3 linked regions of the Alligator mississippiensis genome follow. The protein of the gene in region 1 interacts with the protein of each later gene in a pairwise test. Links are inferred from orthologs where the notes say so. Each region holds a gene or a part of one and is shown in the gene's direction. Other genes may lie near its edges.

Region 1 (10,411 bases):
CATTACATCCAGCAGTTAGCTTTGGATATTTAGATGATGTTCCTATGAGAATATCTAATTATTCTTGTTCCTGTAACCTCATATTTTCTTGTATCTCAAGTTGCTAAGGTACATTTCTCTAGCAAATAGTTTCATAGCATGTCAGACCTGTTAAACCCAGAATAAGAAAATCCATTAAAGAAACATCCACTTTCTCCTTTTTTTCTTCACTCCTTTTTGCATTCTTTTTATTCTCCAGTGTGAGAGAGATCACTGTTCAGGGCCGGTCCATGATACTAGGGCAGAATAGTGGTAATGGAGGTGAAAATAATAAAAAAAGGAAAATGTTTAAAAAATAAGAAATAGGTTTTGAACCAAAAAATGCTGACGTTTTTCCACAAAAATAGATTTTAATTTTCCAAACAATTCTAGTAATTAAAGTGCTGTGAAAGTTTGGACCTTTGTGTAATAACTTATAAATATTACTCTTTGATGTAGTTACTGTTAGGATCCCCTTATGCTTATACTGAATTGATTCAACTGTATGAGTTAGCAAACACTGTGGTAACAACTCAAGAACCATTTACTTGGATGTTGGTGTTAAATACAACTCAAAAGTTTTAAACAGCGTAACTAAAAACTCTTCCTCTCAGCTTTCACTGGCTCTCAAATTGCCATTGAACTATTTCTCCAGTTATTGTAGTTTTCCATGACAGACAAGACTTTAATTTCTATGGTAAAATAAAAGGTGAGGAAAAGTCCAACAGCAGTTGCACAAAATTGATAATGTCTATGTTTGCTCTGAGTAATTAAGTGGTATTATTGCAATCAGTACACTACCTCTCCCTTTCTCTGTCTTGTGTGGTTATTATACGTACTCCTTTTGTCTCCCACATTAATTTAGGTCACAGCTCTACAATTCACTGACCAATGATGGACTCATGCTAGTGTGAATCCAGGGGCAGATCAGTGCAGTGGTGAGGTTATACCCGTCCCCCTTTTGGACCATGCCATGAGAGCAGCAGCTAGAGACTTTTTAAAGTTCCCAAATCAAGAATTATTCCCCCTCCCTTTCCCTCCATACTCAGCAGCATGTCCCTTTCTCTCCCATTCCCAAAGTTTTTTACTCTTTTACTTCCCTTCTGTTAAGCAACTAATTATGCTTACACACCAAGCTCACCAAGAGAGCCATGAAGTGGGCAGCTGTCCTATTAAATAAGTCTTCAGATGACAATATTAATGATTCTGAAAATGATAAATAAAATTAACAAGTGCTTTCCTTAAAGTTCAGTAGAAATAAGGAAATTCTAAACCATCTATAAATATATATAAATTATCTACACCACATCAGCAGGGAGCCCCAAGAAAGGCAGGGGTGAGCTTGCCCCACTCCAATCCACTGATGTGCTACTATGTGTCATGACCCAAGGGTATGATTTTGTGTGTGCTTCGGCACTGCAGAATTATTTCCTGCCACGAGGAGCTTTCTTTGCATGGTGCAATTCTCAGTTGCATAGAGAAAACCCTGGTGCAAAGGAGTTCCCGCCATTCGCATGCAAATTTGTGTCCCACTATTGGCTGTTTCTAAATTATTCCCACATGGCGGCTAGCAATTGGCTTGCTAGCCGTATAAGAGGCTTGAGCGGTTTCCGCCTAAGTTGGAGATCTCCAGGGAGGACCTCATTTAGGAGGACTCCACATCCATCTCGTGGAGAACTCTAAGTGCTGTGGAGCTTAACAAACCCCGCGTGTGCCTTAGAGGAGAATACAGGGGCCTGATCAACCTCTAGCCTCTCCCTGTCGCCGCCTAATCCCTCGACGTACCCTTCCCTGTGCGCTTTTGGTCCACGGAGCCTAGCAAACTTCGTGTGTGTGTATCCAGAGCTCTTTCCGGGTTTAAGAGGCTCAAGTTTTCTACGGGTCTTGTTCGAGCGAGTTTTCTTTTCATTTGTAACTGCAACTTAAGCGAAGTTTTTCCTGCCTGCACCGCGACCATCTACAGTGTAAGTAAAATAATCTTTAATCAACCGCTACACATCCGTGCCTAATTCTAGTCCGCCGTGCCGAATTCCCCAACCCACGTGCCAGGGCTGCTGGCCACAGTCCGCCGCGCGCCCCTGAAAGCCTCGGACTGCTCCCAGCCCGCACACAATGCTCAGAAGGTTTGTCCCCCAGTGCTGTTCCAGACTTATCTTAGTGTCTGCCAGAGACAGAGGACTCAAGAGCGGACAATCAAAACCAGCCCAGAAAAGCCTCACTGGGGAACTTTTGGTCCACATAAGTGGACTCAGATGGGCTGGGGAATATTCAAACTCTACTCGTGATTGCATGACAGCAGCAAAAATAGCAAATGAAGCCCTTTCTATAAAGCTAATGTTGTGCCAACATTTTTTAAAGGATTAAATGGGACAAGCCATTATAAACTTGTCAGCCTGGCTTTGATCCAGACAAAATAATGGCACTGTTAGTATGGAATGCAATTCATAAATAATTAAGGGAGGATAATACAATGGCTGCCAGTCAACCTGAATTTATGGGAAATGGATCCTGTAAAATTCATCGGATATTCTGTTCTGATGAGATTGCAAGTTTAACTGATGACGGTAATAGCATTGATGTAATATGCTCAAGAGTATGTCAAGTGCATTCACTTCTAACTGCACTCCAGTTATACATAAAGTAGTGGTTCTCAACCTTTTTGAAGAGAAGGCACCCCTCACTGGACTCAAAACACCCCTCCATATGGTATTTCCATTTTAAAAGCTAATTTATATAGTGCAGTATTTCCTTCCTTGCAGAGGGACTGGGCAGTAGTGGTGGAGGACTGGCCAGGTAGGGACAAATCTGAACCTGTGCTTATCTGCTTATCTCCCCACACCTCATGGCACCCTTCAAAAGATCTGGGGACACCTCGGGGTACCCTTGTTGAGAATTACTGACAAAGTTAGCTTTATAATAGATAGCTTAGGTAATAGCTAGGACAGCATGACACACTGACTACAAAACTCACCTGAGAAGCTAGCTTGCACAGTGTATCATGCTTTCATGGATTATACTGCTAGTTGTTCATTAACTAGCTAAACTTAATATTAGCTTGGGTTACCTATAGGAGCTGCAGTTACAGTAATGAAAATCTGTAGACTCTAAGTCACTTACATTGTTATGGCCTAACACTTGGGGTGCCTATACACAAGCACGGAGGCTGCTCCAATGCATCGGATGCACTGCGCATTAGAGCGGACTCAATGCTTGGCAATTGCTATGCTCTAGTGGTCTCTTGCAACTCATGTATCAGCATCCCCACACTTAAAAATGGTGGTGGGAGCACTTGAACTATAGCTCATCGAATGAGCTTTAGCTACAGTGGCCCTGCCACTTTTTAAAAGTGGGGATGCTGATACAGGAGACATTGCAGCACCTTAATTTGTGCGGCTCTCAAAGCCACTCTAATGAAAGTGCCATCCCCCACCCTGCACATTAAAAAAAAAAAAAAAAAAAGATCCAAATACAGAACACCAATAACTAGATTCAAAATTGTCTGATATCTCAAAATGCATGTATGCACTTGCAATGGGGAAAACACGTTTGAATGACTGTTTCTAGAGAGGCTCAGCAGTGTTTGGTTTTTGGTTACATCACTTGTATCAATAACCTGTTACATGTCAGAGTTCCTTACATGTAGGAAGCCTCCCTTAGAGAGATTGGATTGGTTTTCCCTTATTGGCACAGAGTTGGTTATAGCCAAGGCTAGGGATTTTGACTGGGGTATGCCAGTGCTCCTGCTGGACTTACAGGGTCCTGGATAGACGGTCTTGCCCCTCTGCTCAGGGTCAGACCAATGGCCATATTTGGGGTCAAGAAGGAATTTGATTCCACGATCAGACTGGTGATGACTGGGTGGGTGGGTTGCCTTCCTCTGAAGGGGGGTGTGGCCCTCTACCAGGGACCTCTTGAGTGTATATTAACCTTTTCCACAAGCAGGGTTTTGGCCACTGTGGTCCCCCTGCTTTGCATGTGGCAGGTGAGCTTGTTATGTCTTGCATTGTCTCAGGGTCAACCGTAGTTTTTCTAAGAGGTTGGAGTATGGGTTTGCATAGGGATGGTCCTGCCTCAGCACTAGCACTAGATGACTTCTGGAGGTTCCTTCCAGCGCTACTGCTCTATGACAAATCTTAATTAGGAAAGGCAACACAACACTTCAAAAAGCAGTGGGTAGTGCAGTATCGAAGAGCAACAGTGATCAAAACAACATGTGTTTCAAGTCTCATTCATGTGTCTAGAAACAAAGGGCATTTATAGACATGTTCTGGGAGGTCCCGGCCCACCCTGCTTCTTTTTAAGCAGCTCCGGCGGCGACTCCTTCTGGTTTCTGGCTGCAACCACCGCAGACCCCCCCAAGAGTCAGAGTGTAATTCAAACCCTAGCAATCCTGAAGGCTGCTGGAGCATGTTAATTTCTGCACTCCAGCAGATTAATCGAGTTTGCTGCCACGCCCTGCATTTACGGCATATCAGAGTAGCCACCTTGCACATGTGTAAATACCCAAAGAGGGCAGGCTGCACTGAGATCTCCGGGGAGCATCCTTGCCAAACAGTACCATAGCAAGGCGGGTGGTTTGAGTGGAGCAACTGTTCTGGGTGCCAAAGTGAAGGGCGGGGCACAGGATGGAGCCGTGAGCGGCTCATTTGGGGGGGCACAGGGATGGGGGAGGGCAGCTCCTGCAGCTGCATGCACTCCTGGACAAGCATGGGGGGTGGCGCCCCCGGATCTGCGTGGTGGGTGAGGGCAGGCTGCTGCTGCGGGCTTGCCCTGGGCACCAAACGTCCTGGCTATGGTACTGTCTCCAAAACAGATGGTATAAAATCCGGGTTGGAAGGGACCTCAGGAGGCCTAGTCCAACCCCCTGCTCAGAACAGGACCGTCCCCAGCTAGATCATCCCAGCCAAAGCTTTATCCATCCTGGGTTTAAAAACCTCCAAGGATGAGGAGCCCACCACCTCTCTAGGAGCCTGCTCCAGCGCTTCTCCGCCCTGCTAGGAAAAAACTGTTTCCTAATATCCAACGTAGAGCTCCCTGGATGCAACCGGAGACCTTGTCCTGTCGTCTGCCAGCACCGAGACCAGCCTGGCCCCATCCACACGGGACACGGGGGCGGCGCTGGGTCTACCCCCGGGGGTGTCCCAGGGGCAGGTCTGCGCGGCTCGGCTGTAGGCGCGGGAGACCCTGAGGCAGAAGCAGGGGACTGATTTCCTCCGCCTTTCCCGGCAGCGCAGCAGCCCTAGCAAGGCGAGGCCGGCCTGCGAGACGGGTGCGAGGAAACAGGGCAGGGGGCAGAGGAGCCACCAGCAGAAGACGACGGGGCGGCACATCGGACACCGACCCGCCAGGCTGCGCGACAGGCGCGGGGCCCTGGACAAGGCGGGAGGGGACAACACCCCTTCCCCCGGGCCCCCCCGCGGGCTTCCCCCAGCGTACGAGACTCCCCACTGCGTCACGGGGCGGCGGACAGCGCATGCGCGCGGCGCCGTGGGCGGGGCCAGCCGTTGAGCCGCAGCTGGTAGCCTCATAGCGACGGAGCCAGGCCCAGCTGACGTCGCTGCTGCAGCAGTTCGCCCCGGGCCGCCCGGACGGTGAGTAGCGGCGCGCGCCGCCCCGCCCCGCCCGGACCTCTGCCCCCGGGCGAGGGGGGGGAGCGGCTCCCCCCTTGCCCTGAGAACGGCTCCCCCGCGGCCGCCGGGGGGCGGGGCGGGGCGGGGCGGGCAGGGGTGCCGCGTCTAGTCTTGGCGGCCCCGGCCGCTGCCTCCGCCTCAACCCCTCCCTGCTGGGCCGGGGGAGGCTGCGGTGTCGGAGCTGCGTGGCGGAGGGGAGGGGGGTGGTCTGGCTGGCTCTCTGGGATCCGGCTTTTTGTTGCCCTCGTCCCGCCCGCGGGCCGCAGCTCTGTGCCGTGGAGCGGTGCGTCACGGGCTGCTTGGGCGGCGGCGGCGCCCCCAGCCCGGCCCGGCAGGAGGCCCGAGATCAGCGCGGCCGCTCCTCAACCAAGAGCCCTGCTCCGCTCCCGGCTGTGTCCCGGGTCGGGCGGGGGCCGCAGCCTCCTACGCTAGCGGCGTAACGTTGTGTGCGCGTGTGTACACGCACACACATTCCCCCCCCCCTTGTATTTATATGTGTATGTACACACAAGATAAATCTCTGTAATCGCAAGGTTTATTTTGTGGGTATGTACTTGTATTTGTATAGATATATACATATAAGTGTGCGTGTGTGTAGGTAGATAGGTATCCAAGCCATAGCTGGTTTGGTTTAGAGGAAAAAGCAATCGGGTCTAAAGGAAAAAACAAGCTGGTGGCGGAGGTGATAATATCTTTTATTAGACCAACAAGATTTGTGCAAAAAAAAATTGTCTTTAATTGCAAGCTTTTGGGCACAAACACCCTTCATCAGGCATCGGAGAAACTTTTATAATCCTCTGTCCGAAGCCTGGTGATGAAGGGTGTTTGTGCCTGAAAGCTTGCAATTAAAGACAATTTTTTTTGCAAAAATCTTGGTCTAGTACAAGATATCACCTCTACCACGAGCCCTGATTGCTGTGTGTATAAACGTGTACACACATGCGTGCACATATCTACACAGACGTGTGTAGATATGTGTATGTGCATGTATAGAAAAAATATGAGAGAGAGCACAAGCTTTCCTGAACCCAAGTTCACTTCATCAGATGCTGTGAAAGAATGCGCAGGAAGTAGAGTGGGAAGAGAGAGAAATCAGAATATAGAAGACAAGAGGGGAGAGGAGGAGGGTGCCCAGTGTTTGAGAGGAGAGCAACAACTTGAGTGGGTTGTGGATGAAGATGCAGTTGCTGATGGCTCCTCACCCATGAATGCCCTAGCGTGAAAATGGTGGGCCAGGCACTGTGGTATCAGTGGTTCCTCCCTTCTGAGGGATTTTCTTCTTGTCTTCTATACCAGTGGAAATTTTGGCTTCAGCTGCAGATAGGTCGGGGCAGGTCAGTTGGAAGTCAGTCAACCTGCTCATCTATTGCAAGGTTTTGCCCAAAAAGAAGGCTTGTCATCTAGCAGGAAGCTGAAGTTCTAAAGATACTTTGTCACTGAGGATTTGTAGGCAAAGTGACAATTCAAACATTCAGGCTTCATATCTTTAATACATATCTCTTTGACAGAACAGGGGAGGCTTGTGAATTTGCTAGTTCTTGGAAGTCTCATTTTTCTAGCCTAACTCTGGGTTTCTTTGCATTGAAGTTTGAACTAGTAATTAATCTTTTAGGTAAAATATCATTTTTGATAGTAGTAGTTGAGCCAGTGGAAATGGAAGTGTACATGTGATTAGCTGTCAGTGTCCTACTTCTGTTCCTCCAGGTAAATTTTTCCCCAAGTAGATCATAGAAAAGGAAAAGGAACAAGAAAAAACTTCTCTAGCAGTCAGTCTCCAGACAAAGGTTATCAGAATTAAGGATCGAGTAATCTATATGAACGAGGAGCTTTCTAAGGGTGCTGGTGATTATTACCATTTTTCTCCTACCTGGTCCTGTTCCTCAACTCCTGTTAATGTTTACTTTTGTTTTAGTTTGTATTACCTATTTTATGCAAAATAAATAAGCATATAAATAATAGACTAAGATGACCTTCTACAAACTTGACCCATATGGCAGGGAAGGATCCCTTTCCTAGAATAATATAATTTTTATCTAGGCTAACTTTTGTCTCTGTGGTTTACTATTAAAAATTGCACCCTTTATATAACTCTTCTTTACATTATTGGAGATGTCAGGTTATTGGAATACCTATTACTACCTAAGATGCAACGAAATTCCTTATTAAAATCAGTTTTCAGTACCCCTTCCCCCCCTTCCCTCGCAACAGACTTACCAGCCTGACCTGGATATGCTCCTGGTCACCTGCGTGCTGTGCTGCAGCTACACGCATGTGTCATTTATCAGCCACATTGGTTCTGCATATCCCCTATGACCTTTTTAAGTACCTCTATGGGTATGATTACCCCTAGTTGACAACCACTGTCTTAATTAGTTTAGATTTATATATTGTTGAAGGTGGATGCATGTTTCTATCGCAGACAACTGATTTGCAAATCTGTTTAAAACGAGCATACGTTTTATAAGTAGCAGGAAGATTTATTTGGAATAGACAGTCCAAATGAAACTGATTTTTACACTTTTACCCCTCCCCACCTGATGAGGGAGAGGCGAGGAGGAGAGGGAATCATTCCAAGGCTGAAAATAGCATATGGAACAACAGGCTTTATTGCTATCCCTAATCCTAATTTCATTTAAAAATTGCTTTCTTTTAAAGAACTACCAATAAATTTGCCCCTAAAATTGTATATTACTCTTATGTAGAGCCCCCTGTTGACTTCAGTGGGGGTTCAGATACATGGGGCTTGGAAAAATTTTGGTTGCCTGGCCTGTTGCCATCCAGTTCCAGGAGAAGGTAGAGTACATTCACTGTACTTTCCATATGATCCCTTGGGGCGATGCATGGTTAAGTGAGACTCCAAGTCTATAATCTTTCTTTTGTATCATGTCATGAGTCAAGGGATAGCTTGTACAAAAGGGACCTAACTGCCTGTATTAGTTTCTCACTGTTGTTCTCAACTATCAAATTCTGGCAGATTTAAGACCACTTGGTATTATTAATATGATTTAAATTGGCATTAATGTATAATAAAAGCCAGTTCTTTGATCAGTGAATTGTTGACTAGTTGAACTTAACCAGCGAAACTTGTTCAAATGCTTTAGTTTAGGGGTGTCAAACATGGGTTCTGTGGACTGGATCTGACCTGTGGGTCTCAGACAGATGCTGCATGCTTCATGTACAGCCAGTACTCATATACAGCCTGGGGTACAATCCTGAATGGCCTTGGAGCCAGTGCACAGGGCTGGTGAAGTGGGGCGTTAAGTACTTTTTTTTTTTTTTTAAACAAACAACAGGCATCAATCAAAGGCTTTATCTTTCTTCTGTATTATGGTTGATTCTTGTAAGTATTTTAGCATCAGCTTTTCTAATAGGTAGAATCTAACAAGCAAACTAAAACTTTATCTGTAAGTGTGCAGTTGCTAAGTTGGATTTTATTTGTTTTCTTTAGTGAAATTACATAAAAATGTCGCTCTATCCTTCCCTGGAAGATTTGAAGGTGGATAAAGTAATTCAGGTATGATGAAATGTATAGACTCTTTAGATCTGTTTTAGTGAACGGTTGAAGTAGTAATAAAATTGTTCCCCTCCCCCTCATATAAAATATGGGGTTAAAACCACTTGTCCATTACTAAATCATCACTTTTCAGCAGTAGAACAGTTGTTTAGCTCCCTGTTCTTTGACATTAAGTAGACCTCCATCCCACAAAACTGTCACGCAACTGTAAAACTCACATATTTCAAAATATGCTTTCCATGTGATCCGAATGATTTGGTTCTGCTTTTTTAACTCCATAACTTATACACTGATATCCAGCTGAAGTTGAGGAATTCTCTGGTCATGTGAGTCTGAAGCTGACTGATAAGGTTAAATCAGAACATTTTGTAAGCCACTGAAAAGAAACTGCCAGGCTTCAGAGAACAAAACTAATCTCATTATTCAACTTTTGGGTCAGTGTCCATGCACATAGTCTCACTTAGAGTGCATGTTATTATTGAAAGGAGTTAATATCTGCCAAATTGCTTACTTCTACCTGAAGTTTTTGATTTCAAAGTAAATTATTGTAAGATGCCAGAACATGTATATGTTCAACATCTGGTCTCTAACCCAAGGGAAACAGATTGGGACATAATTTAAAATCTTAACTATCGTTTGAATCTTCTGTTTTTAATTGTTAATTGATCTCTAATGTTATGGAAATGGACTGCTCTTTATCACTGAAAGTGGCAGTGAAATGATTCTTTGATTCTCTTGAATCTAGGCTGTTTGCAGATGTTAAAAAAAAAACCAAACAAACCCCAAAACAAAACCCAAAAAACCCCATGCTTTAGTAGAAGAGGCAGCATGTTACTTTGGTTTGGATCCACAGCATCTATATAGATCAGGCATTTCAGTGGGGCTTTTTGGCACTTTGATTTAAAGCTGATTCAATCAGCTATTAGATAAAAGCACCAAAAAGCCCTACTAAAGTACCTGATCTATAAAGACACTGGGCAAGCTAGGTCCAACTAGCATGCTACCTTTTCTGGGCATGCGCTGGGCTCAGTGCAGGAACACGCCAAGCTTAAAGTGCCTTTTATTGGGGCCTTTTACTGGGGGGGTTGTTGCGCAGAGGGGAGGTTTAATGTCTGCAAGCAGCCCTAGCGTGATGGAAAGCTTTATTTTAATGCTGCCTAGTGCCCAAACCATATAAAGACCTTTCAATTCTACAAGTTGGCCTGTGCTATAGCATGGTGGGTTTTTAACACTTGGAAGCATCTTTGTT
Region 2 (9,916 bases), about 120 Mb from region 1:
CTTTACACCTGCCCTGGCCACATCTGATATTTATCTTTCTCCTCCACAGCTGTTTGCTCTGGAGTCCCTGATGGTCATTATGGCATCCAGTGCCGGATGTCTGCTTTCTTCAGCATTCCTTTGATTGCCAAACAGTGCATCTAGGTCTACTCTGTCATCACCTGCTGCCTGGAACTCTTGGGAAGAGAGTTCCACCAGTGTCTTCTCTCTCCTGAAACTCTGGATTCTTCTGGATGGCCCCTCTCCAGAGCTGAAAGTACCTACCCGGGTCCGCTGAGCACCAGTCTGGACGAAGCAGCTACTTTGGAAGTGTTGCCCAGGACCCTGCTTCCTAATGGTGTTCTCTGCTTCAGCTGAGGTGAGTGATAGAAGTGGGTTATCCTTGGGTCTCTCCCTTTCTCTCCTATTTCCTTCTCTACCATCACAATTATATATTACAAGCTGATATAACTACATCTGTCAGGGTTATGAACAGTTGTGATCACTGACCAGGATGCCTGTGTTGACAGATGCCTGTAATACTGGTTATATTGATAAAACTGAACTTTCCCCAGTAGAGTTTCGGAGGTTTATCTACTGTACTAGTAAGGGAGCATCCAGATATTCAGGCACATGTGGTTTGTGGTGCCACAAGCCTCTTTGCGGCACCACAAAGGACACTCCCAGAACATTAAAACGTGTTCTGTGCTGCAAATTTGCAGTGTGAGGGCAAACTTTCTTACTGGGGAACTCCAGTGGCAAAAACAAATTCTGGGGAAAAAAGCAGTGCAGCGCAAGCATCCATAGCGTGTGCTGGAACACACGGAGGGCTGGCCATCTAGAGCAATGTTCTGGCTGCCAGTCAGGCTCCATGTTGTCAGATCTGCACCCTTGCTGCACCAGGACACCAGGTAATACTGCTAGGGCCAGCACAGGTGCTAGCCCTGTCCTCTCCTACCCCTACCTGGGACAATTTGCTGTGTGCTGAAGCACATGTATAGGGGCATGCGATGAAGCACAATGCAGCAGCACAAATTTCTGCCACTGCTACTTGTGCTGCTGGAACCGCGTGCCCCTGCATGTGGGGACATGCCCATAGAGTTCAATTTTGCTGGTATAGTTGGGTCTATGCTAGGATTTGACAAGTTTACTAAACTGGTATTCTTATATTTGTAAAATTCTCTTAGAGTCTTAGGCCAGGTCAAAAGTAAAAAGCTTTGTTGATGTAATCATTTCCATTCAGAAATGTGAATAGACTGCAACCTTTAGCTGACGTAGCTATGCTGGCAAACCCCTTGGCATTGACACAGATGTACTGACAGAAGAGGACTTCTGCTACCTCAGCTTACATTGTTTGGAGAGGTGGTGCAGCTATTATGGCAGAGAAATAACTACAATGGGCTGATGCTTCTGTCTTTGCTAGGGGGCTCTGTCAACAAAGCTACTTTGGCATAAATATAATAGCAAAGGCTTTATAGTGTAGACAAGCTCTTAGATATGCAGTACAATTCCCAGGTGGGAATGGCCTTATTCTGAATATCTACACAAGAGCACTGCGTCAATTATACTTCTTTGTTTCTGCCAACAGAAGTTTTGGGAGCAGGCAACAGTTACCAAATTGCCAGAGTAAGTCCAAATCCAGGCACTTCTAGCAGCTCCTGACAGTAAAATGTGCTTTAATCTACCAAGTAAACCACAAGGGACACTTGGCAGAGTGTTGGAGGTAAAGTTATATATATTTATATTTTTGCAAAAAACAAAAAGACAGTTGTGTTACTGTTGGTGGTGTGCAAAGTGTCCCTGGGATGAGACTGCTGTTCCAGAAGTGGGTACAGGAGCACTTACAAGTATTGTCTTGATTCTGGTAGCAGAAACATTAGTCTCTTTGGACTGCTTGGTTGTCTAACTGCAGACAGAAAGGTGGATGCTGCTGCAAAGGCCCCTGGAATATGTACGCATTGTAAATGTAGGGATGTAAATGCAGCGTAGACATGGTCTGAGATGGAAACTTTCATATCACTGTAGCTTCTGGTTCATGTAGACAAATTTCAATTCTTTCTACAGTACATGAGGCATCCTGAAGCATTCATTCACTTAGGTGACCTTAACATTTTCCCCTTGGAGGAAATGGACAAGAGATGAATCAGTTTAAGAGTAATTTACCCTTTTAATCTGTAATGGGTGATTCTGTGCATGCAATTAATCCAAAGCAATAAACTCTGGAGTAGTTTACGCTGGAGTCAAATAGTCCTGGGTGCAGAGTCTACACATGTGCCTGGGACAGCAGCCATTTGAGCCAGGGTGGAGCCAGGGTGGCACAGTTTATGCCAGAGCTGCAAGGGAATGTCTCTCATTCCCTTTGAATCTCACTGTCACACATTTGCATTTTCACAGAGCTGCATTTTGCATATTAGCTTCTATTCTATCCAGGAGAGCACACACACCAACAAACTCTCCCTATGCCTGAAGAAGGGTATTTGTGCCTGAAAGCTTGCAAAAAACAATTTTTCCAACTATTTAGTTCGTCTAATAAAAGATCTCACATCTATTCAAAAAACCTTGTCTGCCTATGTCTTTAGATCAACATGGCTACAACCAACAACCTAAAGTCCATAGGCTGACTTCTTGAATGATTTCATCAACTTCAGTCCAGTTTTCTTTGCCAACAGACTATGTCTGCAGTAACATAAAAGATAGACTCCATCCCCTTGATACCAGGCTATAGAGAGATTAAATTATACTTTATCAAAGTCCAACAGGAAAAAAAAAGCCTTCAGCTTGACTTTACTTTAACAATATATCCATTCAACATCTTGGAGTTCTCATAGCCTCAAACAAAATCTGCTGCTGTATGTTTTCCAGCAAACAAAAAGTAATCAGCGCAGTTACCCCTAACATCAATTGAACACTTTATTTTGCCTGAAAGATTAATTTAATATTCTTTGCCCTCGCTGTATCCTTTCTACTGAAAGCAACGGCCATTTGGTTTGATTTCTGCTGAGTTCAAGGCCAATGCAGGTGAGCTGCCTTGCATACAAGCTTCCCCTTAGGTAAGGCTTGTTTTCTCCTCTGCAGAGATAAAGGGCAGAAGGCCTGCAGATTTGCTGTGGAAAAAAAGAAGTGGCTTGTATAATGGAGGGATGATGTTTAAGGAAGGAAAAATACCCTGCATTGGTGCTCTGCTGCTTCTCACAAGCATGTTAATTACATTCTTTTATCTCTAAAATGCTGGATTGTAAATCATAGCCATAGACACAAAGCTAAGATTGAGATGCCCTATTCTAAGTAGATTAAAAAAAAGTTACAAGCACCCTTTGCTATTGGGTATTTGATCATCTGCTTTTTTTTTCTCCTTACAGACTCACAGTTTCCCATTTGCATTCAGCTCTATCATTTCATTGATTTTGCTCCCCAGTATGTCTTTCTTATAGATACAGTTGAACCACATGACAATACCTGCTTCCTCTTTTGAAGAACAACTTTTTTATTGGCTACTTGGGGTTGTACAGTCTTAATACTGATTCTCTTTGGTGCAGTTATCTTTTATCATTTTGATGCTCACTTTAAAATAACTAGGAAGCTCAAGTTAATGATCAAGTAATAAGATCCTGGAAAAACTACAGAATCAGTGATAATTAGCATTGTACACCCAGCATTATAATTGGGCCATTACAAATCCTAATGCTACCAGCAAAAGACCAGACATGTAAACAATACCTGTCACTTAATGACCATATGGAGCATTCAGCGCTCCCGGCATTGCTTCAGGTCCTTAACTACTCCAGTTGGTCGCTAAGATCAGTAAAAAGAAACTGCATTTCAAACACCATTGCTCAAATATATAGTGAGTGATTTTAATATTAGAATTTCTCTTAACGTGAAATTTTACTCTAGGGCAGCAAATAAAATCCAAAACAAAATTTTCACGCTGCACTCAGAATGACTGATTCAAGATTCAAGCCCATTACATTTACATAAAGAGGAACAGAATCAAGTAGGGTTGGGTTTTAATTTTCAATCAAGTGACTGTGTTATTCAGACTGTACAATAACAGGCCTACCAAACTTAGAGATCTTTTACAACACTGTTTATTAAACCATCCCTTCTGTAGGTCTTTTTTAGATCTTCATTAAACCTACAGCTCAGGTCAGTGGACTGCGACTGCACAATGCTGGGCTTGTCCACTGGCAAGGCTGGAAGCAGATATATTGGAAATTCTCAGGGGGAAAAGCATAGAGAGACTGTGGAATGAAGAAAATGACACTACTGACATGTCCTGACCCTAAAAAACAGATCTACCCCTCACTTAACACAGACACAGCCTTTTTGGTCACGCAAGTGACATGTGACGACTAGGTTCGTTGGGGGCTCCAGCTCAGACACAAAACAACCAGGTCTTCTGAAGGAATATTCTGTAAGTAATAGCCAGCTGGGCTCCTGGAGAGGCATCTTCCTTCAGGGGCACTCAGGAAGTTGAAAGCCCAGCTGACTGGCAGATACATCCAGCTGGAATGTTCTCTGATGCCTTCCCCCCCCCAGCTTTTCCCACAAAAGGAAGATCTAAGTGGACTTGAATAAAAAAGTTTCTGCTTGTGTGACAATAATGTCCTTCTTTTTCTTCTCTGCCCCCCAACATAAACACCAGGTACAACCAGCTGCCTCCAGTACCAGTCAGCTCGCTCCTCCCCATCCTCTCCTCCCCCTCCATCCCTGCAGGCTCGCCCTGGCAGGCACAGTTACATTCCAGCACCTTCCTCACCTTCCCCCCAAAGTACTATTATTACTATTACTACTCCACCATCCATCTCTCTCTCTCTCTCTCTCTCTGGCGTGTCTCTCCGCACAGCCCACGCACCCCCCAGCGCGCCCAGGAGCATGTAAAGGGGTAGGGGTCAGCAGGCTGTGCCCCCCACACTCCCTGCACCCCGTCCCCGGTATGTGTGTGTATATGTACGTGTGTACATGTATATGTGTGTGTGTATCTCCCTCCACATTCTTCCACATCCCCTCCACAGGCAGCTGCTTGAGTGACACCCCCCAGCGCCAATCCGCTGCCCCCCCAGTTGCGGGGGGCGGGCCCGCGTGGCGCGGCCCGCCCAATGGCTGCACGCGGCCGGAGGGGCGCGGGGGCGGAGCCCGGGGGAAAGGAGGGGACGGCTGTCATCAATGAAGTCATATTCATAATCTCGTCCCCGGCGCGCGGGCGCTGCACTCGGGAGGCTCGCGCACACGGAGCGGGGACCCCGGCGGCGCCGCGCGGCTTCCGGGCCAGGTAAATAGGGGCTCGGCGCGCCCCGCGGCCGGCTCGGCACCGCCTTGCACCCCCCGGCCCGGCCCCCAGCCCCGGCCCCCCTCCGATCTCCCCTCCCCAGGCAGCAGCAGCGGCAGGAGGAGGAAGAAAGTTTGAGCTGCGATATCTTTTTGCAATAAGGACCTGGAAGAAGGACCCCCCTTCCCCTCCCGTCCTCTCCTCTCCTTCCCCCGCCCGGTCCTTTGCTGCCTGCCTCCCCCGGGTTCCTGCCTCGTGAGTCAGGCGATGCAGGAGGCGACAGTGCCTGCAGCTCGGGCTCCGGGGACACAAATGGACAGCGGGAAGCTGCAGCCCGGGGCCGAGGGGGGCCGGCTTGTCTCCTTTCTCCCCGCCCTCACCTTGCAACCCCGGGGGGCTCTGCCGGGGGTGGGAGGGAGGGGGAGGTTGCCTCCTGCTGGGGCTGAAGTTCCCCGCGCCCTGCTCCGGGGCAGCAGGAGGGGCCCGTGCGGAGTGGGCTCCTGCCCATGCCCGGTGTTTGGACAGACGTGCTGGGGAGGGGGGGCGCGGGAGAGGAGCAGCAGCGAGCCGCTGAGCAAAGGAGGCCATGAGCAGGATAATCTCCTGCTTGACTGTCACCAACATGACACGCGCAGGGGAAGGGGGGGCAGGACTTGGGGAGGGGGGTGCTGCAGCCCCTCCTGTTGCCTCCTCCCATCTCGGCCGGGCTGTTGTGAATTGCCGGCGGTGCCCTCCGCCGGGGACTGGAAGGTGTCGCGATTCACTTCCTAAAATAGCTCCTCTCCCTCCAGCCCTGCTCGCTGCTGCTCCCCCCCCGGCCTTGCAGCAGTGGTACCAAACAAGCGCTGGCGAGATGCCCCCCCCGGCTTTCAAAGCCACCGGCCCCCCCCCGGCATTTTATTTCCGGTAGGCACAGAAAATGTCAGTCATTTTGTTTTCTGGGGGGGAAGGGGGTGGCGCTTTTCTCTTCCTGCTGGCACGGATCCGGGGCTGGGGAGCTGGGCGGGAGGTGCCCCAAGTGGGAGGGGGCTTTGGAGGTGGGGGGCAGAAAAAGTTTTTGGGTGGCTGATGAAGTGCAAAGAGAGAGAGAGAGGGAGGGGAAATGGAGGGGGAGTGGGGATTTAAGCCTCTGTTGCTTTTGGTGGCTGGGGCTTTGGAGGGACACAGAGAGAGGTTTTGTGTGTGTGTGTGTGCGCGTGTGTGCGTGCACGGTGTGGAGCAGCATTGACAGAGACTCAGGAAGTCACAGCACAGGTTTAGGGTGGTTTTGAGGGTTGTGTGTGAGAGAGAGGTGGCTGGGAGGCCTGGTGTGTGTGAGAGGGGTTGTGTGTGTATGTCTGTGGGGGGGTTGTGTGTGTGTAGCAGCAGCAGAGAATCAAAGTCACAGCAGAGGTTTGGGGGTGTGTGAGAGGTTTGGGGGTGGTTGGGAGGACTGGTGTGTGTGTGTGTGTGTGTGTGTGTGTGTAGCAGACGCAGAAAATCAGGAAGTCACAGCAGAGGTTTGGGATGGTTTGGAGGGGTTGTGTGCGTGTGCCAGAGGGGGTGGTGTGTGGTGTGTGAGTGAATGTAGCAGCAGCAGCAGCAGAGAATCAGGAAGTCGCAGCAGAGGTTTGGGGTGGTTGTGAGGGTTGTATGTGTGTAAAAGAGGTGGCTGGGAGGGCTGGTGTGTGTGTGCGGGGTTGTGTGTATGTGTGTGTAGCAGCAGAGAATCAGGCAGTCGCAGCAGAGGTTTGGGGTGGCTGTGAGGGTGCGTGTGTGTGTAGCGGCAGCAGAGAATCAGGAAGTCCCAGCAGGCAGAGACAGGCGCTCACACACGCACACAGGCGCGCACAGACATGTTTGATCAGTATGACACGATGACGGAGGGAAGCCGCGCAGCGGAGAGCCGGGCCTAGCTGTGCCGGGGGCCGGGCTGCCCCCTCCCGCCCGACCCTGCTGCCCGCTCCCCCCCGCGCGGGCGGGAGCGCTCCGGGCCGAAGGTCGGGGCCGGGGGAAGGTAAAGCCCCGGAGCGGGCCCGGGGGAGCTCCGCTGCCATGGCGCGGGCTGGAGGTGGAGGTGGGAAGGGGGGCGGGGAGCGGGGCTGGCGCTGCTCGGAGCCCGTCGATCGGCGCTCAAACTTTCCAGAAAGGCAGGGGGAGCTGGGGGACGTGGCCGGGCTCCGGGTGCCTGCACTGCATGTCGCTCGGGGCCGCGGGATCCGTGCGCTCCAGCGGCAAAGTTGAGGCCTATGCATTTCCCCAGCGTCCCGGAAGAGTCACTGGAGGGGGAGCCGGAGGGGGGGGGAGGTGTTGGGAAGGCCAAAAATATATACAAAAAAAAAGCAAAAAAGCTGGCAATTGAATGGAGCCAAGCGGAGGGGGGCGGCGGGAGGGGGGACGGGACTATCTCCCAATCTGGGATCGGAGTAGAGATCTCCAGGGGGCTGAAGTTAGTGTGCCTGCAAGACATATGGCCCTGCCTCCCCCTCCACCACGTTGCATTATCTCCTTGCTGGAGGAGCCTTCTCTGGGGCCCTGGCTCTGTGTGTGTGTGTGTGTGTGTGTGTGTGTGTACATTGTGTGTATACACATGTAGTGATGTGTGTGTATATGTGTGTGTGTAGTGTGGTATGTTGTATGGGTGTGGGGTGTGTGTGGTGTGGTGTGTACGTGTGGTATGTGAGTATACGTGTGTATGTGTATACATGTGTGTATGTGTGTGGTGTGTGTGTATGTATAGCATCTTCATTTTCTTTTCCTCCACAGGGATTGTGATAGTATGAGTATGTGTATGTATGTATCTATAGTGTCTTCATTTTCTTTTCCTCCAACAGGTTTGTGATTGTATGTGTGTGTGCATGTATGTATGTGTGTACATACAGTGTCTTCATTTTCTTCCCCCCAACAGGACTGTGATAGTGTGAGAGCAGCCAGTCCAAACCAGCCAGGGGGTTCCTGACCCAGGAGGGTTTTTTTGCTGCAGTGTGCATGTGCTTTGGAGAAGCATAAAAAAAAAAAAAAAAAAAAAAGTCTTGTGGTTAAATCTAAAGTGTGAAGCTAGAGCTGGCCTTGGAGCTGGTTTTCCTTCCTTGTTCTCCTCTTCAAGTTTCCTTTCTTGTCTTCCCCTTCATGTCTGATAATCAAAAGTCCTGTAAGGAGAGAGTGTCATTCTTTCCCGGTGGTGGCTGTAGGTGGTTGGTGAATAAGTTAGGTAGAAAGTTACAGGCACAAGGTTTGTGTAAAAATGGTAACAACCTATAGCTGGCATTTTAATTTCCTTTCAAAAGCAGCCTGGGTGATGTAGCATTTCCAGCTTTGTTTCCTTTGCGCTTGTGCCTGCATTTTAGATCCTTTTCTTCACTCTTTCTTAGTTCCAGCCGTGGAACCAGGAGTTCTGGACAATGAATGTTAAACCAGAATTCCCTTCCTTTAGTAGTATACCAGCTACATGTTAGGAGGTGGGGCAGCTTTTGCTCTGTGAGTGAATGCATTGTTATGCAAATCAAGGCACACTTTTTCTCTTTGGGGACCTAATTGCCCTATTATTCCCCCTGACTTTTTTCCTTTTGTCCTTTTGTTACTTGAGGGGGGAAAAATGATGTACCAGAAGGACAGGATTAGAGACAGGTTTTTGTGTCCATATGTGATACATCCGTAATATAAAGCAAAGGGTTTATATGGGTAATGAGCATTTTTAAATAAAGTCAAAGTTAGCTGTATCATGTAACACATGTGGACTTGACAGGCGAGGGTAATGCTTTATTAAATACAGTATTTCTCTCATGAGGCATGGCTCGGCTCTAGGACTGACATTACTATGGTGTTTCATAGAACATATGCACCACAAGAGTATGTTCAAAGTAGTCTTTAGATCTTTTCTTTTGTTCATTTCTGAAGTGGTCTGTGAGCATTTTTTGTCAAGTTTGAAAAGTGCTTTGACCAACACCTGAGGCTTGAGATTGACAAGAAAAAAGTGTTCCAGCTAGCATTTCCTATATTTAATATATCCTTGACAGAATTGTAACTTAAATTAAAATCTGCAAATGTATTTTTTTTTTAGTTTTTTTGTTGGACTTTGAAGTTAAGATCAGAATGTGCGCAGTAGTGACTTTAAAAAAAAGTCTGCACTTTCTGCAAATTTTTATGGTCCTGATTAATAATAATACTGTGATCTAGTGATTCCTTTCTAAAGGGCAATTTTCATTTAGGAACACACATGAGAAGGCTTATACAAATAATTAAAATTCTTTTATTCTATGTTTGTGTTTCTTGGTGCTATTGAAGATCTTTGTATACAAATCAAGTGTCCTTGACCTCCACCCTTTCACACTTCCTCAACCCAATTTTTTCCTTTCTGATTGATCCTCCTGTGAAGTAAATGCAGGATTATGACATTAAAGATCACTTGTCATGAAAATGACATCAAATGGAAGCTTATGCCTTATTTGCAAGATAATACAATAGAGGATGGAAGAGCAAAGGAGCAAGTCCTCATTTAGATGCATAACTTCAGTAGTTTACAAACATAACATGACTATAAAATTGGGGATGTGGCTGGATTTTTTTTGTTGGAAATGTGTAATGGTCTCCTCCTTATGAACACATCTATTATTACTGCCTTCCTGCTCCCCTCATTAGCAACAGGTTGCCCTGCTACCACCCTTCCACCTCCCCCCTCTTATATTTTAT
Region 3 (10,367 bases), on another chromosome or scaffold:
GTAGCAAGCAGAAGTTGCTGGTTCTGCTTTGCCCCAGGCACCCCATTTCATCCCTATGTTGGTGTTTTGCTAGTTTTCCTTACTTCTTGCAGAGACAAGCAGCCTGAGGTGTTTATAGAAAGGCAACAGCAACTTCGTACCAGATACCAGTAAATCTGTATCTCACTCAGTCTTAGAACATCATAATGCTTTGCATTCTCAAGCACAAATCATCAGAGGACTTCAAACTGTGTAGCGCACACAAAATCCCTCCAGCCCTTATTTGAGGACTGTAAGTATTATTGTCCCTAAAACTCCTGATATCCTGGCCTGTGATCTAACCACTGAATTACACTCCCTCCTGTGCATAATGGCTGAACTGTATATAACATGGGAGCTGGTTCCATTTTTTTCCATGGGCTCTTGTCCAAAGGTAAACAGGAACTGCCTTCAACAATCTGGAGCATGTGTAGGCAGATAATACATTTATTTCTGCCCATGGGCGGTATGAAGAATGGTTCTATCTCGGCAACAATTCAGTCAACAGTAGTAGCAACAGCAGCAGCTCAGAGCCGATATGGATACAAATCTAGGGTGCATTGGCTTCACATTAGCAGGGTTGCTGGGCAATTGTGAGGTTTTTATAAGTAAAGGGGTTGTTACTGATTGCCTAGAAGGAATAAGTTTGGACTGTAGTGTTCTTTTCTTTGAGCACTGACTAAAGCACTGCAAAACCATGCCAAGATTGAAAAAAAAAAAAAATGGAAACTGTAATTGTGAGCAGTTTCATGTATATAACTATGAACAGTAATCAACTAGAAGAGAAAAAAATTAAACCCCTGGAAACAATAGTCTTGGCCAGTGGTTTTCAACCATTTTTCATTTGCTTTGCTTTCATTTAATTTGCCTAACCTATTTTGAATGGAGGTACAGACCCCTTTGGACATTTTGAACGGAGGTGCGGACCCCTTAGAATTGTAAGTGTGGGTATTCACTTACTTTTGATTGATCATAGTCATCTTTTGTGGACCACTTAGATATACTCTGTGGACTGCTGGGAGTCCATGGACCACAGGTTGAAAACCCCTGGGCTAGGAAATGATTGTACAAAGCACCATCAAGACTTCAGGAAATGATTATGAAGCATGGGTACACAGGAAATATGAAATACAGGTCAGGTAAGTGGTTTATAGCAGGACTGTCTTATTATAGCCAGAAGTTTTAAGGAAAAGAAGGTGAAGATAATGTGACACACACCACCATTTCTAAAACAAAATTGGGCAAACCCAAATGAAAAATACAGCCCTACACAAGCTTGGGAGAATAATTCTAAAGGGATAGCCAAAAGAAGAATCTTAAGTACTTCAAGCTGAACTTTTATTGAAACTATGAACATGAAATTGTCACATGTGATGAATTCTGGATAAAGGACACTATTGTAAAACCAGACACTGATGTTGGAAATGCACAGCATACTCCACAGTGGCCACATGGATATGAAGTGGAAGGGCAGAGCCTGAAATGTCTGGTTCTAGCTGAGCATGAACACTATAATAGAAAGTAAAATATGTAAGTGTGCAAGTTACAACCTGCGTAAGCAGAGTTCAAAAGAGCCAATTTATTTATTTAGCTAATGCAAATCTGGGAATCCAAGCAATAGCCTTCGCTAAAAGAGCCGATGAAACTACATGGAATCAGAACTCGTGGTAGAGGTGATATCTTTTAAAAATTATTTAATTGCAAGCTTTCAGCAATTAAAGATTTCTTTTTTTTTGCAAAAATCTAGTTGGCCTAATAAAAGGTATCACCTCTACCACAAGTTCTGATTCCTTTTGCCTCCAGACCAATACGGTTACACTTTGGATACCTGACGAATGAAACTGCGTGACACTCCTAGTCAGCCTTAGCCCAAGGACTATTTGAATCAAATGTAAAGATTACCTTTCATTAGTGAACTACAATTGAATTGTTTTTTAAGCAGAGGTGTTGCACAATACTTCAAATAACAAGGCAAGAATGTGTTGTAAACACTAGGAGGTGCCAGAAAGTAAATAAAGTGACTCACAATTTACCAGTGATTGAGATGGCATTTCTTGCCTACTCAAGGGGTTAGCAGGAATCAGTTCAAATAGCTCAGAACTTGATTAAGAATGAAATCTTTGCAGGCTGAGTATTGTTAGAATACTACAACACACTTTGAAATGATCTGTCACAGTCACCAATGTCCAGGTTTATCAGGGACAGAGAAACAATAACCAGGATCCAGCAAGCTTCTCGAGTCAAGCATAGTAAGTCGGAAGTAATTGCAAAAGGAGCAATGTACCGGAAAACTAGAACATGAAGAATACTAAGAAAAGAATGTCAAAGAGCTATCTTATTTGTAAGTTGGGGGACTGTAAGGTGTGTGGGGAAGCATGGCTAGCAACCTGCCAAAGCAACTGATGGGCAGTTCTAGAGGAGGGTCTGAAGACATCTACACACCACCAAAGTGTACTATCACTGACAATATCAAATAAACTCTTGTCCTTTTATCTGGATTCCTGTGATATTTGGTGTATTTCTTGAAGTCCTAGCTTCTAAAATCACAGGTTTATGTGGTAACCTCAGCTTTCAATTGAAAGAGGAAGCGCCTAGCCTTCATGGTTACGTTTGTGACCCAAGTGCATGCAAACAGCTCAGTAACCATGCAACAATTCAAAGAATACAATGTTTATTTATCAAAGAAAAAAGGAAAGAAAATCATGGTTTTTGAATTCTTGGGGTTTAGTAGTACTGAATGAGACAAAATATTCATCTTTACAAAGGGTGCAAATTTTCTACCTTTTTACCTAAGTTTTCATCCTTGACTTCCTACTTTATTTTTAAATGGCCATGTTAATTTTTTATTCTTATTTTAACTCCATTCATGTCTTTATTTGCATTCAATTTGAATTAAAAAGGTATGTACTCCATTAACTGTGCAGTCAATGGATGCTGACACCTCTCATTATATAACCGTAATGCAGATCAGTGATTAAAGCCAGGAATATGTTCCGTTTCTTACTAGGCTTCTTCTTTAGTGTCATATCCTCCTACATCATTGCCCTGCTACAACTTGCTGTTCACTTCTTCAAGTAGGTATAAAATGAACTCCAGGCCCTAATGCTAATCCCAGTAACAACTTGGATGAGTTGCAGTATTTTACAATTACATTTGTTCCTGCTGACTTACCAGGAACTTTGCCCTTTATATGATGGTTACTTATTTTCCTGTAAATAGCACCCAGGTCAATAGGTTTTTCACACTGTTCCTCTCCAGTTTAAAATAGTTCACTCTTGTTGTGTGATCTCCATGAAATCTCTGCCTATTGTGATGTCAAACCTGAATAGGCGATCATTGTTACCCAATAATGTAACACTCATTTCCTGTGTAAGTCCTCTCATCTTCAAAACAAGCCGCTCGAAAAATAACTGATAAGTGGGTTGTGATTATGAGGAAACTTTTTTTTTCTAGAATACCTTAATTGTTAGGCAGTTGGGTTGTTTAATATTGTAGTAATTAAAGCCAACTAGTTTTAATTCTCTTGGAACAACAGTAACCCCTAACTTAATTTCTTTCAGGTCCTTCAGGCAAAATTGTGTTGTTTACTACTCTGGGACTGATGATATCATGGGAGTGGTATAGAGGTAAATAAGGGCTGCATTTGCCTTTATTTTACAGTCTGGAAGTTTTGGGTCATTCTGGCTTTTTGAATTGTTTTTTATGCAAGGCAATTTAGTTGTTGGAAACCAACTACCTCAGTTGCGATACCAATGCCCCTCTGCTTCACAGAAGGAAACCAGATCTGAGCACTGACAGACCCCATCTCAGGACAAAGCATTCCCATGCTTCCTTATTTCTGTTTGTAGCCAGCCCTCCATAAAGCCAGGGAGAGCCACAGAAGCCACAATGGCAACTCTTTATTCAAAGCGTTTGCAGAGCTCTGTGTGATCTTCCGCAGGAGAGACACTGCAGAATGTCTTGTCACGGAGCGCCACAGGCGCGGATGTGCCCTCTGCCACAACATGTCCCCCTGCCATGAAAGTGAAGTCTCGGTGAGATCACGTCATGAATTGTGCACACGTAGCCGCTCTTTTTAGTGGACTGAGTAAGAATGACTCCACTCTGGTTTCTTAGGTCCTACATCACATTGAAAGCCGAACGGAAATCCCCAAAGGCTCAGGGGCAGTGTTTCTGGTATAGGAGGAGACCTGCCTTGGGGTGTCCACAACCTGGGTGATCATGCGGCCGGAGGGGGGCGCTACATGCCAGTGGCATGGTTGTGTATGTGTATCTGCATGTGTGTGGGGGTACAAGGGGCACGGGACAGTAGTATGGTTGTGTGTGTATTACAAGGGACCCTGGCTGGCGGCATGGTTGTGTATGTGCGTGGAGTACAAGTGGCATGGGACAGTGGCATGGTTGTGTTTATATTTGTGGGGGGGGGGGTATAAGGGACTTGGGCACTCGACATGCTTATGTTTGTGTGTATGTGCATTACAAGGGACCCTGGCGAGTGGCATGGTTGTGTGTGTTGGGAGGGAGGTACAAGGGACCCAGGCCAGCGACATGGTTGTGCGCATGTGCGTATGGGTGTTACAAGGGACTCTGGCCAATGGCATGGTTTTGTATGTGTATGTGTTGGGGGGGGTAAAAGGGACATGGGCCAGTGGCATGGTGTGTGTGTGTGTGTGTGTATGTGTAGTAGTCATTCTGGTGGAACTCAATCAGAGTTTGCAGGTTCTCACTCCAAATGATGAAGATGTCATCGATATATCGTAAGTACAGCAAGGGTTTGATGGTACAGTTCTTGAGGAAGTCTTCTTCCAGGTGGCTCATAAAAAGGTTGGCATACTGTGGGGCCATTTTAATGCCCATAGCTGTTCCCATCGTCTGGAGGAAGTGTTGATTATTAAAAGTGAAATTGTTGTGTGTGAGGGTGAAGTGTATAAGCTCAGCGATATCTTTGGGTCTGTATTCTGGGTTGTAATCTTGTTCCTGTAGATATGTAAGGCAGGCATGGATGCCATCCTGGTGTGGGATGTTGGTGTATAGGCTGGTAACATCCATGGTGGCTAGGAGTGTGTTGCTGGGAAGGTGGTCTATGTTTTTAAGTTTCCGTAGCGTGAGTGTGCGTGCGTGCGTGCGTGCGTGTGTGTGGCGGGAGGGGGGGGTACAAGGGACCGAGGCCAGCTACCTGATTGCGCATGCGCATGTATGTTGCAAGGGACCCTGTCCAGCGGCATGGTTGTGCGCATGTGCACGTGTGTGACGTACAAGGGACCTGGGCCAGCTGCACAGCTGTGCACGTGTTTGTGGTGTGCACGGGGCCCGGGCCAGCTGCCCGGGTGTGGGCGTGCGCGCGTGGCCCAGGGGTAGCAGCGCCCCAGGCGCAACCGCCGCCTCGTGCCCAGGCAGGGAGGGGCGGGGCAAGCAGCCGTGCGGGCGCCTGCTGAGTCACACCGCGGTGCCCCAGGGAGCGCGCCCCCCTCGCCGGAGCAGAAGGCTGAGCTGGGCGTGGCCACGACGTAACCCACGCGCCGGGGCCCCGCCCACGTCGTGACGCGCCGCGGTCTATAAAGGCAGCTGCCGCAGGGGGGGTTGCGCTCAGAAGGCACAGTCCCTTCGTACTTGTAGCCTAGCAAAGCGCAGCGTCGCGCCAGCCTAGCGGGGGCGGTTCCTGCTTCAACAGTGTTTGGACGGAACCTGCCGCCGCTTCTGCCCGCTCCGACCCTCCTCGCCGAAGCCGTAGCCCCGCCATCGCCATGGCCACGTCCCCTTCTCAGGTGCGGCAGAACTACCACCAGGACTGCGAGGCCGCCGTCAACCGGCAGATCAACCTGGAGCTCTACGCCTCCTACGTGTACCTCAGCATGGTAAGCGCCCCGTCCTCGCCCTCGGGCCGTACCAACCCCCTCCGCGGGGGGCATACCATCTCAGCGCCGTGGCTGGGGCGACACATACCACCTCAGAGCTGGGGGGAGTACCAAGTAGGCGCCGCGGAGGCTGGGGGGGCTGTACCAAGTTGGTGCCCGGAGTGGGGGGGGGGCGGGAGTGGTGGCGGCCCCGACCGTGGCGGTGGCGCAGTTGGTGCCGCCCAGCGCGCGGGGCCCTGCAGGGGCTGTTATCGCGGGGCCCGGCCGCACCTGGCGCGCGATAGCGGGCGGCGCCGCCCCCCTCCCTTCTCCTCCCCGGGGAGCCCGCAGCTGGGCCTCGGGCGCACAGGCCTGCTGCTCCCGGGCTGCGGCTCCCCTGCGCTTAGTGCAGCGCATCCCGGGGCTGGTGGGCGCCAACTGCAGTGCTCTAGCTGGGCTGTGCCTTGTGGGTAACAAGGCCGGGGGGGTGGCTCTGAGCCCTAGTGTGGAAGAGCAGGGGTGCATCCTTGTGCCAGCTCCAGGCATCCGGGCTTGTTCAGAGCGGGATTCGCTACTGCGGCCCCTCCCCCGGGCTCCTGACTTGCCAAGCGTGTTCCCCACGGTGCAGCCGTGCGTAGTGCCTTGGTTGGCAGACATCTTCTCCTCTCCCAGCACATGCAGGGGCGTGCCTCGCACTTTACCTTCTGAAGCTAGGCTCAGCAAAGCGAGGTTGGCCCCAGAACTGTCAAAATCGCCCTCTTCATGGATGTTTGGAGTAGCATTGCTCTCTAGACAGCCAGTCTGAGTGTTGGTGTTGGGTGGGCAAGTAAGATGGGGAACATGAACACGGCACTGTCTCCCTGCTGCAGTTGGTCTTCCAGCATCATTTTGGGAGAGGCTGAGGCACCCTGGGCTTTAGTCTGGAGAAGACTGAGGGGATTTAGTAGCCTCTGACTACTTGCAGGGAGGTTGAAGCTAAACCAGTAGTTCTCAACCTTTCTTTTTTTCCTCCCCCCCATTTGTGACCCCCTAAAAACTGTAATGGTGGTACAGGCCCCTTTGAATTGTAAGTGTGGGTATTTGTATACTTTTGATTGATCATAATCATCTTTTGTAGATCCCTTAGACAAGTTTACAAACCCCCAGGTGTCCATGGACCATGGAGTTGAAAACCACTGAGCTAGACTGTTCTGAGTGGTGGCAGATGATGGAACAGGGAGCAACAGTCTCAAGTTGTATAAAGGGAAATTTGGGTTAGATATTAGGAAAAGCTTTCTCACCGGGAGGTCAGTAAAGCACTACAACAGACTACCCAGAGAGGTTGTGGAGTCTCTATCCTTGGAGGTTTTTAAGACCCAGCTAGACAAAGCCTTGGTTGGGATGATCTAGTTGGGGATGCTCCTACTTTGAGCAGGGGTTGGACTGGATGTGACCTCCCGTGGTCCCTTCCAACCCTAGTTTTCTATGATTCTATAATTTGTGAAGTGTTGCTCAGGTGAAGAATACCCATTTCAGTCTTGGAAATCTAAGCTATGATTATGTCTAGACTTTGGTCACAGCATGAGAAAGAGGCATAGTGAGCTACTTAATATCTGGTATTGGGTAGTAGAATAGCTGAGCTCTTGGTGGGAGCTGTCCCACCAATCTTGAGGGCAGTTAATAGCCATTGTCAGTTGGTTAAATGGCAAATTACTACAAGCTCTCCTACCAGTAAACTTTTGCCATCATGGCAGCTGCTTCTCCGTTGGTCTGGCTACTGTATAGTTAGGGCAATACTGAGAATATCTGGGTTTGTAGCAGATTTGCTCCTTATAGCTGTGAGACTTGTTGGCCAAAGTCTTTAGTATCTTAATTTTGTTTTCAGTCTTACTATTTTGACCGTGATGATGTGGCTCTGAAAAACTTTGCCAAGTATTTCCTGCACCAGTCGCACGAAGAGCGTGAACACGCTGAGAAACTGATGAAACTGCAGAATCAGCGGGGTGGTCGCATCTTCCTGCATGACATCAAGGTGAGCAGCACTGCAAATGCACCTCAAGGACACAGAGTACATTGGACCTGCAGCCAACCTCTGTCTTCTAAAGCTAGGCCCAGGCTGGAAGGGGAGGAGTTTCTAAGTCGGTGCAGACTGTCATGACAGTAAGTGAGGGACTGGTGAACAACACTGACCTGACGGCCACTCTAATGCTGGTGTGCGTTGTAAAGAAAGGATGAGATGTGTGTATAGGGCTGGAGTTGCACTAAGCAAGCAGCTGTCTAAATTTTTCTGCTGGTCTGTTTTGTGAGGTTTACACAGGGGCATTCCCTCAGCCCAGCTTGTGCTTTGTGTTGCAGTGATGTGATGTTCTTTTTAGATCCATGGTTACCATGGAAACATGGAAATTATGATGGTGGTTCCAATGGCATGCTGTGCCTTCACCACAGGATCCCGTAGGAGTAGCTGAGCTGGGAGCTGGTACTGAACAGACCTTCAGCCAGTATAGATAATCAACCTGAGCCGCCATGTGTTGTGATTCTGACACTGCAATGTTCCAAGTTCTTCCTTATTGTGGAAGTATCTAATGTCAAAGCAAAAATGACAAATACAAGAGAATACTGCTATAAAAAGCAGGTGCATAGTTTTCTATCCATCTTATTTTCATGCATTTCCTCTTAGTCCCTTCTCCCTGCCCCCTATTTCTGTACCACAGTGGGAACCAACCTTCTTAGACAGGCAGGGTGAGGGACATACCTGCCATATTCCATTTTGATCCCATTCCTTTGTCTGATCTGCTGCTTTCTGCATCTTGCCTTATCTGCCACTGTGCTGCCAGCGCCCCTCCCCAATATGCTGCGTGCCACACACAGGCTGTTTATGCCACTTGTGGCATACATGCTACAGATAGACCATCCCTTCTGTACCACATGCTCTTAAATTGGGCTGTTCATGAGTATATGTTCTTAGGTTTTTTTGAGAACAGCAGTAACCATGTGAACTTCACTGGTTCCTGAATTAAATGTGGGAGCCAGGTTCCCAGCTCAATCCCCATACCAGGTTCTGGGTACTCATCTCTTCCTTTTTACACTCATTCTGGAGTTACTCTTGACTCAGATCAGTGACTTCTAGTTGAAGACCCTGTAACACTTAGGGTGCTGGTGAGTCTTCCCTCATAACACTTCATTCAGTCTTGCTCTTCTAGCCTATGTTTCTTGTCCAAGTGATGACATTTCAACATGTCAAGTGTTGAGGTTTCTATGTTTAGAGAATCTATCAGTACCTAAAGAAAGAATAAAACCACTGACTTTCAGTAAAGCTGATAGAGCTGTTCATATCTTATTAGTCCTTCCCATTGGACTATCAGCACTTCCTAAAAGGATAGCTTTTGGTATGGTTATCTGATGTTAAAAGGTGATGAATACTAATACTAATGAATACTTAAAAACAAGCAAAACAATGCCTTCCTCCCCCCCCCCCCACAAAAAAAAAACAACAAACCACAAAAAACAAAACCCAAAAAACCAAAAACCTGGATAGATGAGTATTTCTAGTAACCAAGTGTTCTCTATGGAGTATGTGCTGGAATATGGTGGTCTATTTTTAAGAAGCACATGGATTCTCAAATGCCTTCTCCATACAAGCGCTATCAACTCTTCAAGCTTACTATCTTCTAAGGTGGCTTTTAAACTTCAAAAGTAACTTTCAAGCTGAGATCCTATCAAATCAGGGTTTCAGCATGACTAAGAACAAAGATTGCTTTGTCTCATTGACCTACTGCTCCTGTGTTTGGTCTCTAGAAGATTAGTTGAGGTCTTGTGCTTTCCTCATAGAAACCAGACCGTGATGACTGGGAGAATGGATTGACAGCAATGGAGTGTGCCTTGCATCTGGAAAAGAATGTGAACCAGTCACTCTTGGAGCTGCACAAGCTGGCAACTGAGAAGAATGACCCTCACGTAAGTGGAAGTTGAAACATGGGTAGAATATGGAGGTCTAAAAGGGTACAGTCGCACACAGTCTTTGGCCCCATGGCCTGGTATCTCAAGAAAGCAGCAAGTATCTTACTACTTTGCCTTGGGCAGGGGTTCCCAAAGTTTTTATGCCACAGCCTGGCAAACCGCAACCGAGCAGTCACAGCTGACCGTGGCCGGACTTTCTGGCTGGGAGACAGATAAGGATACCCCCACCCCCTGGGCGGGGGGCAAACTCTGTGCTGCCACAACTTCTTCGCTCAGCTCTGGGGGGCTGCAGTTTGCTGGTCTGCGGCCACTTCCAGTCTGGCATCCGACCTGCCATGGCCCAGCACCAGGCTGCAGCCCAGGGATTGAGAACCCCTGGCCTAGAGTTAACATAATGCAGCTACTCACCTCCTGGAAAAAAGTTAATTAGATGGTGGGGTGGGGGGAAGGTTACTGTGGAAAAATGCATGGTGTGTACATACAGATTGTGCAGGACTGTCATGCACTACCACACCTGATACAACCCTTCATTCAAGTATAGTATTGAGTTAACTGACTTGTTCTGGAGCTAAGAACATA

The links.
Region 2: the proteins of SDCBP (region 1) and SMARCA2 interact in binary tests that used the Homo sapiens proteins (3 or more experiments, as listed by UniProt). The two-hybrid records come from large-scale screens. The link is inferred for Alligator mississippiensis from reciprocal best matches to the Homo sapiens genes SDCBP and SMARCA2.
Region 3: the proteins of SDCBP (region 1) and FTH1 interact in a two-hybrid assay, tested with the Homo sapiens proteins (2 studies listed by BioGRID and IntAct). The two-hybrid records come from large-scale screens. The link is inferred for Alligator mississippiensis from reciprocal best matches to the Homo sapiens genes SDCBP and FTH1.

The regions. Positions count from the first base shown.
Region 1 is NC_081826.1:69,521,825-69,532,235, reverse strand, and holds the start of SDCBP (syntenin-1), read left to right. Parts: upstream 1-5,500; 5' UTR 5,501-5,609; intron 5,610-9,096; 5' UTR 9,097-9,111; coding exon 9,112-9,162; intron 9,163-10,411. UniProt on the Homo sapiens protein: Multifunctional adapter protein involved in diverse array of functions including trafficking of transmembrane proteins, neuro and immunomodulation, exosome biogenesis, and tumorigenesis.
Region 2 is NC_081826.1:191,851,144-191,861,059, reverse strand, and holds the start of SMARCA2 (probable global transcription activator SNF2L2), read left to right. Parts: upstream 1-5,148; 5' UTR 5,149-5,251; intron 5,252-6,057; exon of another isoform or gene 6,058-6,154; intron 6,155-6,695; exon of another isoform or gene 6,696-7,244; intron 7,245-9,916. UniProt on the Homo sapiens protein: ATPase involved in transcriptional activation and repression of select genes by chromatin remodeling (alteration of DNA-nucleosome topology).
Region 3 is NC_081825.1:179,163,915-179,174,281, reverse strand, and holds the start of FTH1 (ferritin heavy chain), read left to right. Parts: upstream 1-5,599; 5' UTR 5,600-5,762; coding exon 5,763-5,873; intron 5,874-7,716; coding exon 7,717-7,863; intron 7,864-9,659; coding exon 9,660-9,785; intron 9,786-10,367. UniProt on the Homo sapiens protein: Stores iron in a soluble, non-toxic, readily available form. Important for iron homeostasis. Has ferroxidase activity. Iron is taken up in the ferrous form and deposited as ferric hydroxides after oxidation. Also plays a role in delivery of iron to cells.